Daphnia pulex: one gene and its partners. The protein of the gene in region 2 purifies or fractionates together with the protein of the main gene of each other region. This does not show direct contact. Links are inferred from orthologs where the notes say so. Each region holds a gene or a part of one and is shown on either strand. Other genes may lie near its edges.

Region 1 (2,726 bases), on a different chromosome or scaffold from region 2:
AGTTTGGTTTTGTTTGATCTTCAGATTCCGTATGTACCATTATGCGCGGAACAACCTATTCTAAAAGTTCTCATTCTTTATAGTCATCGTAGTAATATTTCGTCTTCTCATCTCATGTCTTCCTGTATTTTAAAATATCATTTACCTTGCATTGGTAGCTTTTGGGATAACAATCAGCTCTAGCCTTCAGTGCACTTTTCTGAATCATTCCAGAATTTTAGACAATGTAGAATGTAGTTCCATTGATAAATTCCAAGCATGCTGAAATTTTTTTTTAGTAAAACCTTCCATCTCAACTTGTAGGAATCTTTCATAATTCTCTTAACAAACATCCCCTGTGTCATACATAATCAAAACTATCTTGGACATTTACTTTATCTTTTAAATTGGTATGATGGGAAGCCTTATGTTTAAGAAGTTGTATGCCTGAGGTGAAAATTTTGTTTCTTGATACAAAATGTATAACCTAACATAGCATTAATAGTAGTAAAATAAATTCTAAGGAATCTGCCAATGGACATACATTTTAGATTTAGGTATAGGTGTATGACATGTTTCTACAATCATAAATGGGTAGTCATTCATGTGGAATTCTTTAAACTAGAAAGTTTTTGGTACTCCTCCTCCAAAGTGTCAAATGACTGCAGCCATTCTCTACGAATGTTGACAATTTCTACAGCAACATCTACAACTTTTTGGAATGCATGCTGACTTTGCTTCAAAGAGGTGGGCACCAACACACCAAACCATTTGATTGGGTCATTCACTTCTTTGTTTCTTGAAACTGTTAGCTTGTTCATGTTGTCACGATCGACTGTCGTTACAGCTTCAATAATACTGTCTTCTCCTGGAATTTGTGTAGTAGAAACTGTTCTCTCTCCACTGATGTAGCGACTTTTTGCCATATCAATGAAACCGCCAGTCAAAAGGCTACTTAGTTTCGACATCAAAACCAATTGTTCATCCACTAAATCCACTTGTTTCAAAGTAAGTTCATCTAAAGATTCACACACTTGAGTTAGCTGGGCACTGGCATTTGTATCTTTGTGTTCCATCGTGGCTAAAACAAATTACGAATAAGAATCTTGATAGGCAAGTCTTAGTCTTAGGCAACTTTAACGACTAAAATGTTCTGCGATGAATAAGCACTTAATACTTCCTGTGAATCATTGGCGTTGTGTCACAATTTCTAATCGATTCGTGGAAGCAGACGAAACTTCTGGCATATTTTGTGTAACAGGAACATTTTAATTTATTGATAACAGGTGGCGAGACTATTTGGTAAACATACCTAAATCGGCTGCCTCGAGAAATTTATAGCGAAAGTGGAAGTGTTTTTTTTTTGTTTCTGTGTTGGGTTGTGGACGTTTTATTTTAATTTTAAATTCCACGAGTGGATTTTTTTGTCTTTCTTATTTTTAACATCCGTTGATTTCTATATGATTGGAAGGGGGTTTCTTCAACATTTACCATGATTTCTTCTTTCAGGTGAAGTCTTGTCCCTTGTGTTGAACTGCCCTATATTTGCCTTAAATATGTGTGACCTTCTCAATTGGAGCAATACTTTTTGCATGGCTTTCCTTTTCTTGAACTATATGAAATTACAATTCCATTCATTATGTTTTCAGCAAAGTTGATGAATATGGCTTTGAGAGACCAGGTTTGAAAGTTTATCATAATTAGTATTTTTTCGTCCTTTTGTAACTTTTTTTTATTTGTAGATGATTTTGATTATAAAGCCTATGAGACCTTCATGTCAAGGTACATGGTAATTTTAACAAGGCGGTCTATGCGATGGAATTCAATTTTAAGCCAGCAGAGCTTACCTGATGGTGGAACAATGAAAAGATTTGTAAGGAAAGGGGTTCCAGCACAGTTTAGAGGAAAGGTATGAATAAATATAAAGGGAAATTCTTCTTCTTTACTTTTGATATTTCTTTCTGTATCATTTGCTGCAATATTTATGCACAAATGTTTATTGCAACAAACATTGATTTAATTGAAAAAAACATAAAAATTTGATTGATAAAACTTAATTCTATAGGTTTGGATGATGACAAGTGGAGCAAATTTCTTGAAGTCTCGTCAACCAAATTTGTACCAAGACTTGATAAGTGACACTAGCCATCAAAACTGGGATGAAATCATACAAAACGACCTCAACCGAACATATCCAGACAACATCTATTTTGTACCATCTTCCGATGGTAAACTTAACTCATTATACAACATATTACGAGCAAGTGCAAGACACAATACCTCAGTTGGATATTGCCAGGTATTTATTTATTTTTTATTAATATACTACACAATCGACGCATACAAGTTTTTCCATAATTTAAGTTTTGGCTTGGTATTGGTTATGTTTTGCAGGGTTTGAATTATGTCGCTGGTCTTTTGCTTATAGCAACAAAGGATGAAGAACAGTCTTTCTGGCTCTTAACAGTCCTTATTCGCAACATCTTGCCGAGCTACTATTCATCAAATATGCAAGGCTTAATTACTGACATCGCCGTATTAGGGGAACTAGTCCGTTCAAAATCCTCTAAACTTGACCGTCTTTTAAAGGATCTTCATCTTCCTTGGCCAATTCTTGTCACCAAATGGTTTATTTGTCTCTATGCCGAGGTTCTGCCCGTTGAGGTTAGTTTTTACCACTTTTTATTACATTTTCGTTGATGAAAATCAATATCGATTTTAATTTTAGACGGTGCTTAGAGTGTGGG
Region 2 (3,642 bases):
AACTCGCAACTTGAGCGTAATAATGGTTAATTAAAAAAGAGCCAGTCTTCCGTGATTAAATATTCCGAATATTAAAACAACATTTTCCATTCTTACCAACTAGAGATTCCATGGGGGGGGGGGGGATAGCGTTTCGTTTCTCTGTATTTCTGTGACCGATAACAGTGATTAATGATACCCGAGGCCGATTGTTCATGTTTTTGTTATTTACCCAAGGTACTTGAGTTATTATCAATGTGGAGAAAGACCAGTCGTTTCTATCGATTGTCCATGGTAGATGCTCATGATAAAAGTCTGATACTACTGCGCAAAAGTAGGACATAGCCCAAGGGATTGCAGAAAGCATCCGACGAATACAAAACACGTTGTTTTTTTTAATAACACGCTACAGACCAAAATAAGCTCTCGATGGAAACTCGTTTAGAGATAGTAAGAATCCTTTCTCCAAAACGCCGTGGTGAAAGTGAGAGGAGAGCGATTCGGATGTCGCGTGCCCATAACACAATCAGTTACACAGCAGAGGAGAATGTTAATATTTCCTTACTTGGACGATGACTCGGATCATCGAAAAAGCACTCAACTCGACGGGAAAACAAAACTTCGTTTAAATGTGTAATCACACACAGAACGAACAGTTATGGCTACGACATGAACAAAGAAAAGCTAGAAAATGTACACCAAACAAAGTAACATTTTTTTACACGCTAAATTATTATCAGTGAGGCTCAAGCCAACAAATAAATCGGAATGTGACTTCTCTAATTTTCCTTTTTGATGCGCTGTGTCGTCATCCGATAGATGATGGAGTCACGACCAGGATCGAGTGTGCAAATAAACACTGAAAAATTAAAGGGATAATGTTATGGCAGATTGCAAAAATCGAACTCAGATTAATCAATTACCAGCGGTGGAAATAAGAGCAGCAATCAAGAAAACGGATGTCCATAAAAGGATATTAAAAATGGATGAGTAATCCGATCCATAGCGTTTAGATAAATTCAACTTCCAATACAGTTCCTGAAAGAAGGAGGATAAAGTTATTTTAACCCTCGACTATTATTTGAAAATAAAATTTTAAAAAATCATACGCTATTTGCTTTGGCATTCGAAGTCGTAGACCTCTTTTCTCGAAGGCGAAGTCTTTCAATGGTTATGGCAGTTAGGATAAACTATAAAAAGACAAAAATTGTTACACACAAATTTTTCGAATTCAAATATAACTGTGTCATACTCGATCGCCATAAGTGTTTTCTAGTGCATCTTGAAGCTCGCCGAGAGCAGATTTCAAAATAGTAACTGCTTCCAAAGCTTGCTCAGAGTCTTGACCATAGACACTGATGATATCATCCAAACCATTAAGGCGGATCCAAACAGTCTTGAAGACGGATTTTGCCAATACCTTTTGAAAATAATGTATTGTGTGTAAAAACCTCTCACTATTTTTTAACTAATGAAAATACCTTATGTTTTAAATCCATCAAAACATCAATATCTTTAAGAAACTGCAAGACAGCAACATCCTTTTTGTTGAGCTTTTGAAGTGCCAAAATCTTCTGGGTTTCACCAGAATATAAGTCATTTTCGTCAAATACAACTTGGCCTAGAATAGAAGTGAAATCATCCTTCACTTGATCAAGAGTAGAGGTGATCTCTAGTGGGTATCTGGGTTCACTCAACTGGAGACTTTGCACACCCTCAACAACAACAGCAACTGAAACTTCTGGGTAATTAAATGGATTCAAGACTGTAAGTCCATTCCACGAGTCACCCTGAAAACAGCAAATAATGGTATTGCTTCAAACTGATTTCATCATAGATACATCAAGTTGCAATATCACTCCTTCGTTTGGAACCAAACATATAGTTCCTAATCTACAAAGTTATAAATGAATGAAAGAACTTACAAAAGGTGTTGTGTGCCCCATTGCAGTGGAAATAATTTTTGGCAATTCACTTGTATTCAGCTGTTCATCTCCCCTAAAGTTGACTCCATTAGGGCTGTGCAAGATGCTGAACTCTCCATTTCCCAGGACTGCATTGCAACAAAACACTTCAAAAGCTGTAGTTTTCAATCGCTAGAAAATAATTACCTGAGGTTAATAGACAAAATACGCCGACAATTGATGCCACTTTCATCTTGCCTTCTTGTCTGGTCAACAGCAGCTGCAATTGCCTTTAGAAAAAGTTTGACAGTCTCGAGTCTCGTGACAGCTAAAGTCAGGTGATGTGTTCGTGGTTCATGATTTAGTCCCTAGATGACGTTTTCATTGCAGCCTACAATTTTTTTTTAAAACGTTGTGCTGCTGACAGCGTGATTCGAATCATATTTCATTTTCAAATTGTTGCTCTTCTTCTTTTCTGAATTCGTTAAATTTCTTAAAAAATGGTTGTATTATCTTCATTTCCTCCGCCTACCGAAGGAATCAAATTAGTTCAGCCTAATACTGGAGCTTTCATCAACACCAGAGACTTGGGCCAAGGAACATTATATATTGCAGAAAGGTTAATTTATATTTATATTCTATTTAAGTTTTCGATTACAAGAGTCACGGAAAAATAATTTTACCTATTCCAAACCATTTAGTCGTGTATCATGGGTTAGTGCCACATCTGGCCAGGGATTTTCGCTGGAATACCCCCACATATCGTTACATGCTGTTTCAAAAGATCCTTCTGCATTTCCACAGGAATGCTTGTACTTGATGTTGGATTCAAGGCTTGATGAACCCGGTAATACCCAATTCTATATTTATGTTTAAAATATCATTTGAGAAAATGTTATGTGAGATGTGTTCATGTTTCCAGGTTTGTCTGATTAAAGTTATATTTTTAAGATGAAGCTTTAGATAATCAAGATTCTGAGGATGAGGAATCTGAAACTGATATGTCTGAAGTAAGGTTTATTCCAGAAGATCGGGGACTTCTTGATGCCATGTACCATGCCATGACAATATGTCAAACACTCCATCCTGATCCTAATGATTCAATTTCAGATGGTAATATTTGACAAAAGGCAAAAGTTTTGCAGATTATTGTATTAACTTTTTTTTTTATTTAGAAGGAGATTTTGAAGATACTGAGGAAGGAGAATATTGCCTTGATGGAGCAGAAACAGCTGAAAATGGTAAATCTGATATAATTTCATTTAATTGATATCCGACAAATATTTATTGTTTTTCTCAATGTGCACCTCAATTGTTCGTAAGATCATGATAATGGTGAGGCGGAGAACATGGAGTCAGACATGGGTCAGTTTGAAGATGCCGATCCTGAACATTAACCGCACATATTTCCCTTATTCACGCTTTACTTACTATTGCTTTCTTTGAAATTTTAAATAATAAAACTTCAAAGCATAGGAGATAATTAATGTAAAACAATTTTTGGTGTCACCTCACTGTTCGATTGCCATGAACGCGAGTATTCTCGGTTAGTTAAAAAAAAAGAATGCGCCCGCTCCAATATTATGTGTAGATTTTAAGCGGGAAGCAAAAAAAAACTGTATGTGTGACAAAAAAAACAAGTTTAATAATCTTTAACTTAAAAATATCGCTGCCACAGTAAAGAAAGCATTGGTTTTCTTTAAAAAAAGAACTTCTTAAGGTAACTTGAAATGAAAAAAATGTGACGTGTTTCGACAAA
Region 3 (2,861 bases), on a different chromosome or scaffold from region 2:
CATTTTTCTCACCCAAGGAAGGAATTGTGAATACCGAGTGCGCAGACGCCAGTCTTACACAATAATTCAGAACCACTCTCTGGAAATTTTCGCACTGATAAATAACCCTCAATCTAATCTTGGACACAATTGGATTGAGGATTCGCTTGCCTTTGTGATCCTTCTCAAGAATTTTAGTCTGGCCTCCGGAGGATTCTATCTAATCAAGTGGAAAAAGATGAAAATAATTTATGATTCCGTCTTAACTTCGACAGGAATTGGTTACATCTTATCACGCTTGATGATCACGTTGGCAGGTGTCATAGCAACTAAACTTCCTTCAAAATCTTTTTCCTTGCACAAATTTGGGTTTTTTTAAAGAAAATATTCAACAGGCTAAAAAATCCAATTACGTACTATACTTACTTTTCCTCCCAACAAAGAAGCGCTGATTGATAAAAGATCTCCCAAGTTGGCCCCATCTTTTCTGACGTGAATCTCCTAATTGGCTAAACTTTCTTTTTGGGGAAACGAGGGGGTCGATAATTTCAATCGATTGCCGGAGCGGAAAGTTGTGTACATAAAAGACTGTTGATTGCTCTATTTAAGGTTCAATTAACAATGAAGACTGGACAGGAATGCATCAAGGAAAAAGAAAGAAAAACACCCAACAACAAACAAAAACTAATTGGGGAATATATTCTACGCGCCGATGGCAGTAGGACTTTTATTACTTGGTGTCTTCGGCGCTAAACATTCCCTAGAAAAACGAAAAGAAATGATTTGATCAGTGATTATTGAATTAAAAATAAAAACACACCTTGGCACGACGGAGAATGGAATCTTTTGACGCGTCGTAAGGATGATCTTTGGAAGGAATTTCGAGCACTGCTGGAATTGGTTCATTGTGGTTGTCAATCACGTGCCTGATCATCTCTGCTACCTGAATGATTAAGCGAGGAAGTGAGCAAACACGTAATCAATTCATTCCATTCAAACTCACATTCTGGTTGATGAGAATGATGTCAATGTCATCTCTCTTGAGGAAGCGCTTGAAGCAGTCCTCCACTTCGCTGATGCTCGTATCTGTATGAAGCATAACAAGGAGAAAATTTTACTTCATTCTCCCACCTCAAAATCTCAAGTTGTTTCGTACTCTTGTCTACGACCATAAAGTTGGGCTGCCTGTTTTTGTTCATCTCTCCAATGCCACCCAAAAGGAATCCAACACAAGTGTCCTGCAATTAATCATTGTTTTTTAAAATTTGGAAACCAAATGAAGTTCGATAAAATCATTTTTAATATATTTACCTCATCACCGATGACGGCTATAAGCCTTCCTTTCGCTGCAGCAATGGCCATTTTTGTGTATAGTAAATTGAAAGAGAACTAAAGTGAATTGAGCTAAGACTTCTCTTTCTAGTTTCTAGTCAAAAGGGAACTGTCACATGACTCGTGAAAAAAAAACACACCGACTTTCAATCGTGAATCGATTCATTTTATTAATCGATAGCAGCAGAAGAAGCCATCCAACGCCACCTCGTGTAGATTGGTGGCAACTACATTTACATTCGTTTCGGCAACTAGATATTCGAGGCAGAAAACTTGTTGGCTTGGGTTCGGCAACCAATATTAAATAACAAATATTTCGTAAACTGCTCATTTTAGATACTGAAACTAAATCAAAATTGAAACAGGATTTTTAAACTTCTATGATTTAATTGTGTAAAAAAAATTACGTGACAAACATAAGAATTGTCCAACGAGTCCCGTCCTCTAGCTCTAGTAGTCCGCGCACTGACGAGTGCATTCAGAAAAAATCATGGCTGCTTCCGGTAAGGAAAAATTTCTCCTCGTGGCATTTTCTTGATATTTACTGTTTTAAGCTCGATAAAGAGACCGGTGATGTCGAATAATTGTTTTCCATAATTTCGTCTACGTCGTGGAGTAATTTTTATTTTTGTGGTAACAATCGGATAAAGTGACGTTAGAAATCTTTCCGGTTAAATTCACATGTGGCACTTGTTCGCTTCTGATTTGTCGTGTATAGATTATTAAAAATGGTGCCTTGAATAATGATGTGAATTTTTAACTGTTGAATTTCAGCCAAAAAAGGGAAGAAATCCAAAGGAAAGGTCCTGTCATTGAATGAGTTCCTCTCTGACGACCATGGAGGTTCCAGGTCTGGAGAAGCTGTCGTCATGGCACCCTCCAAAACCAGTTGGGCTGATGAAATGGAAGATGGCAAGTCAAATATTTTGTTTTAATACGCTGACATATTGAGTATCAACAATGTAATTTTTTGTTTTATTTGTAGAGGCGATTTACAAGGAGAAGCTGTTGTTGCCCACAGCACCACGGGCAGCCAGGGGATCAGACATTGATGAATCTAGGATACCCAACAATGCACCTTACACAGCTTATATAGCCAATCTACCTTATGATATTGAAGTAGAGGATGTATCCAAGTTCTTCCATGGGCTTTCGGTAAGAAATTGCGCTTTCACAACAGCAACTTTTTCTCTACTGATATTTCATACTCTTTTTTTCTGGTTACCTAGGTTAAATCTGTCCGTCTGCCAAGAGAAGGTGGTGATGGTGGCAGACTGAGAGGCTTTGGTTATGCTGAATTTGAAACTAGGCAAGATTTAGTTGACGCCCTTACGATGAACGAATTGGTAATTTTGCAAATTTTTCTATTTGACCTTGTAGTGTTTCCATTTGTCCTTGTTTTGCAGATGATTAAGAACCGCAAAATCCGAGTGGACATTGCTAGCGGCGCAGATGGTGATCAAGAACAGGGCGCTGGCGGTATGGGGCGAGGTCGTGGCCGTCCTACTCGCAATGACGAGGAAAGGGAAGATCGTACCCCTTCCGATTGG

The links.
Region 1: the proteins of renin receptor-like (region 2) and coiled-coil domain-containing protein 115-like purify together in Homo sapiens (affinity purification with mass spectrometry; 3 studies listed by BioGRID and IntAct, counting the BioPlex papers as one, with this or other methods). This does not show direct contact. The link is inferred for Daphnia pulex from reciprocal best matches to the Homo sapiens genes ATP6AP2 and VMA22.
Region 3: the proteins of renin receptor-like (region 2) and V-type proton ATPase subunit F-like purify together in Homo sapiens (affinity purification with mass spectrometry; 3 studies listed by BioGRID and IntAct, counting the BioPlex papers as one, with this or other methods). This does not show direct contact. The link is inferred for Daphnia pulex from reciprocal best matches to the Homo sapiens genes ATP6AP2 and ATP6V1F.

The regions. Positions count from the first base shown.
Region 1 is NC_060024.1:10,425,638-10,428,363, forward strand, and holds coiled-coil domain-containing protein 115-like, read right to left. Parts: upstream 1,194-2,726; 5' UTR 1,056-1,193; coding exon 582-1,055; 3' UTR 504-581; downstream 1-503. Other genes in the region: growth hormone-regulated TBC protein 1-like, read left to right, coding at 1,472-1,488, 1,629-1,660, 1,722-1,888, 2,045-2,278, 2,374-2,643, 2,708-2,726. UniProt on the Homo sapiens protein: Accessory component of the proton-transporting vacuolar (V)-ATPase protein pump involved in intracellular iron homeostasis.
Region 2 is NC_060018.1:1,924,327-1,927,968, forward strand, and holds renin receptor-like, read right to left. Parts: upstream 2,234-3,642; 5' UTR 2,137-2,233; coding exon 2,091-2,136; intron 2,033-2,090; coding exon 1,905-2,032; intron 1,770-1,904; coding exon 1,461-1,769; intron 1,400-1,460; coding exon 1,232-1,399; intron 1,170-1,231; coding exon 1,089-1,169; intron 1,018-1,088; coding exon 903-1,017; intron 839-902; coding exon 759-838; 3' UTR 600-758; downstream 1-599. Other genes in the region: methylosome subunit pICln-like, read left to right, coding at 2,384-2,502, 2,585-2,730, 2,835-2,996, 3,059-3,124, 3,207-3,280. UniProt on the Homo sapiens protein: Multifunctional protein which functions as a renin, prorenin cellular receptor and is involved in the assembly of the lysosomal proton-transporting V-type ATPase (V-ATPase) and the acidification of the endo-lysosomal system.
Region 3 is NC_060026.1:16,025,124-16,027,984, forward strand, and holds V-type proton ATPase subunit F-like, read right to left. Parts: upstream 1,452-2,861; 5' UTR 1,342-1,451; coding exon 1,291-1,341; intron 1,218-1,290; coding exon 1,136-1,217; intron 1,066-1,135; coding exon 983-1,065; intron 923-982; coding exon 800-922; intron 740-799; coding exon 710-739; 3' UTR 566-709; downstream 1-565. Other genes in the region: eukaryotic translation initiation factor 4B-like, read left to right, coding at 1,802-1,814, 2,086-2,223, 2,297-2,466, 2,541-2,657, 2,718-2,861. UniProt on the Homo sapiens protein: Subunit of the V1 complex of vacuolar(H+)-ATPase (V-ATPase), a multisubunit enzyme composed of a peripheral complex (V1) that hydrolyzes ATP and a membrane integral complex (V0) that translocates protons.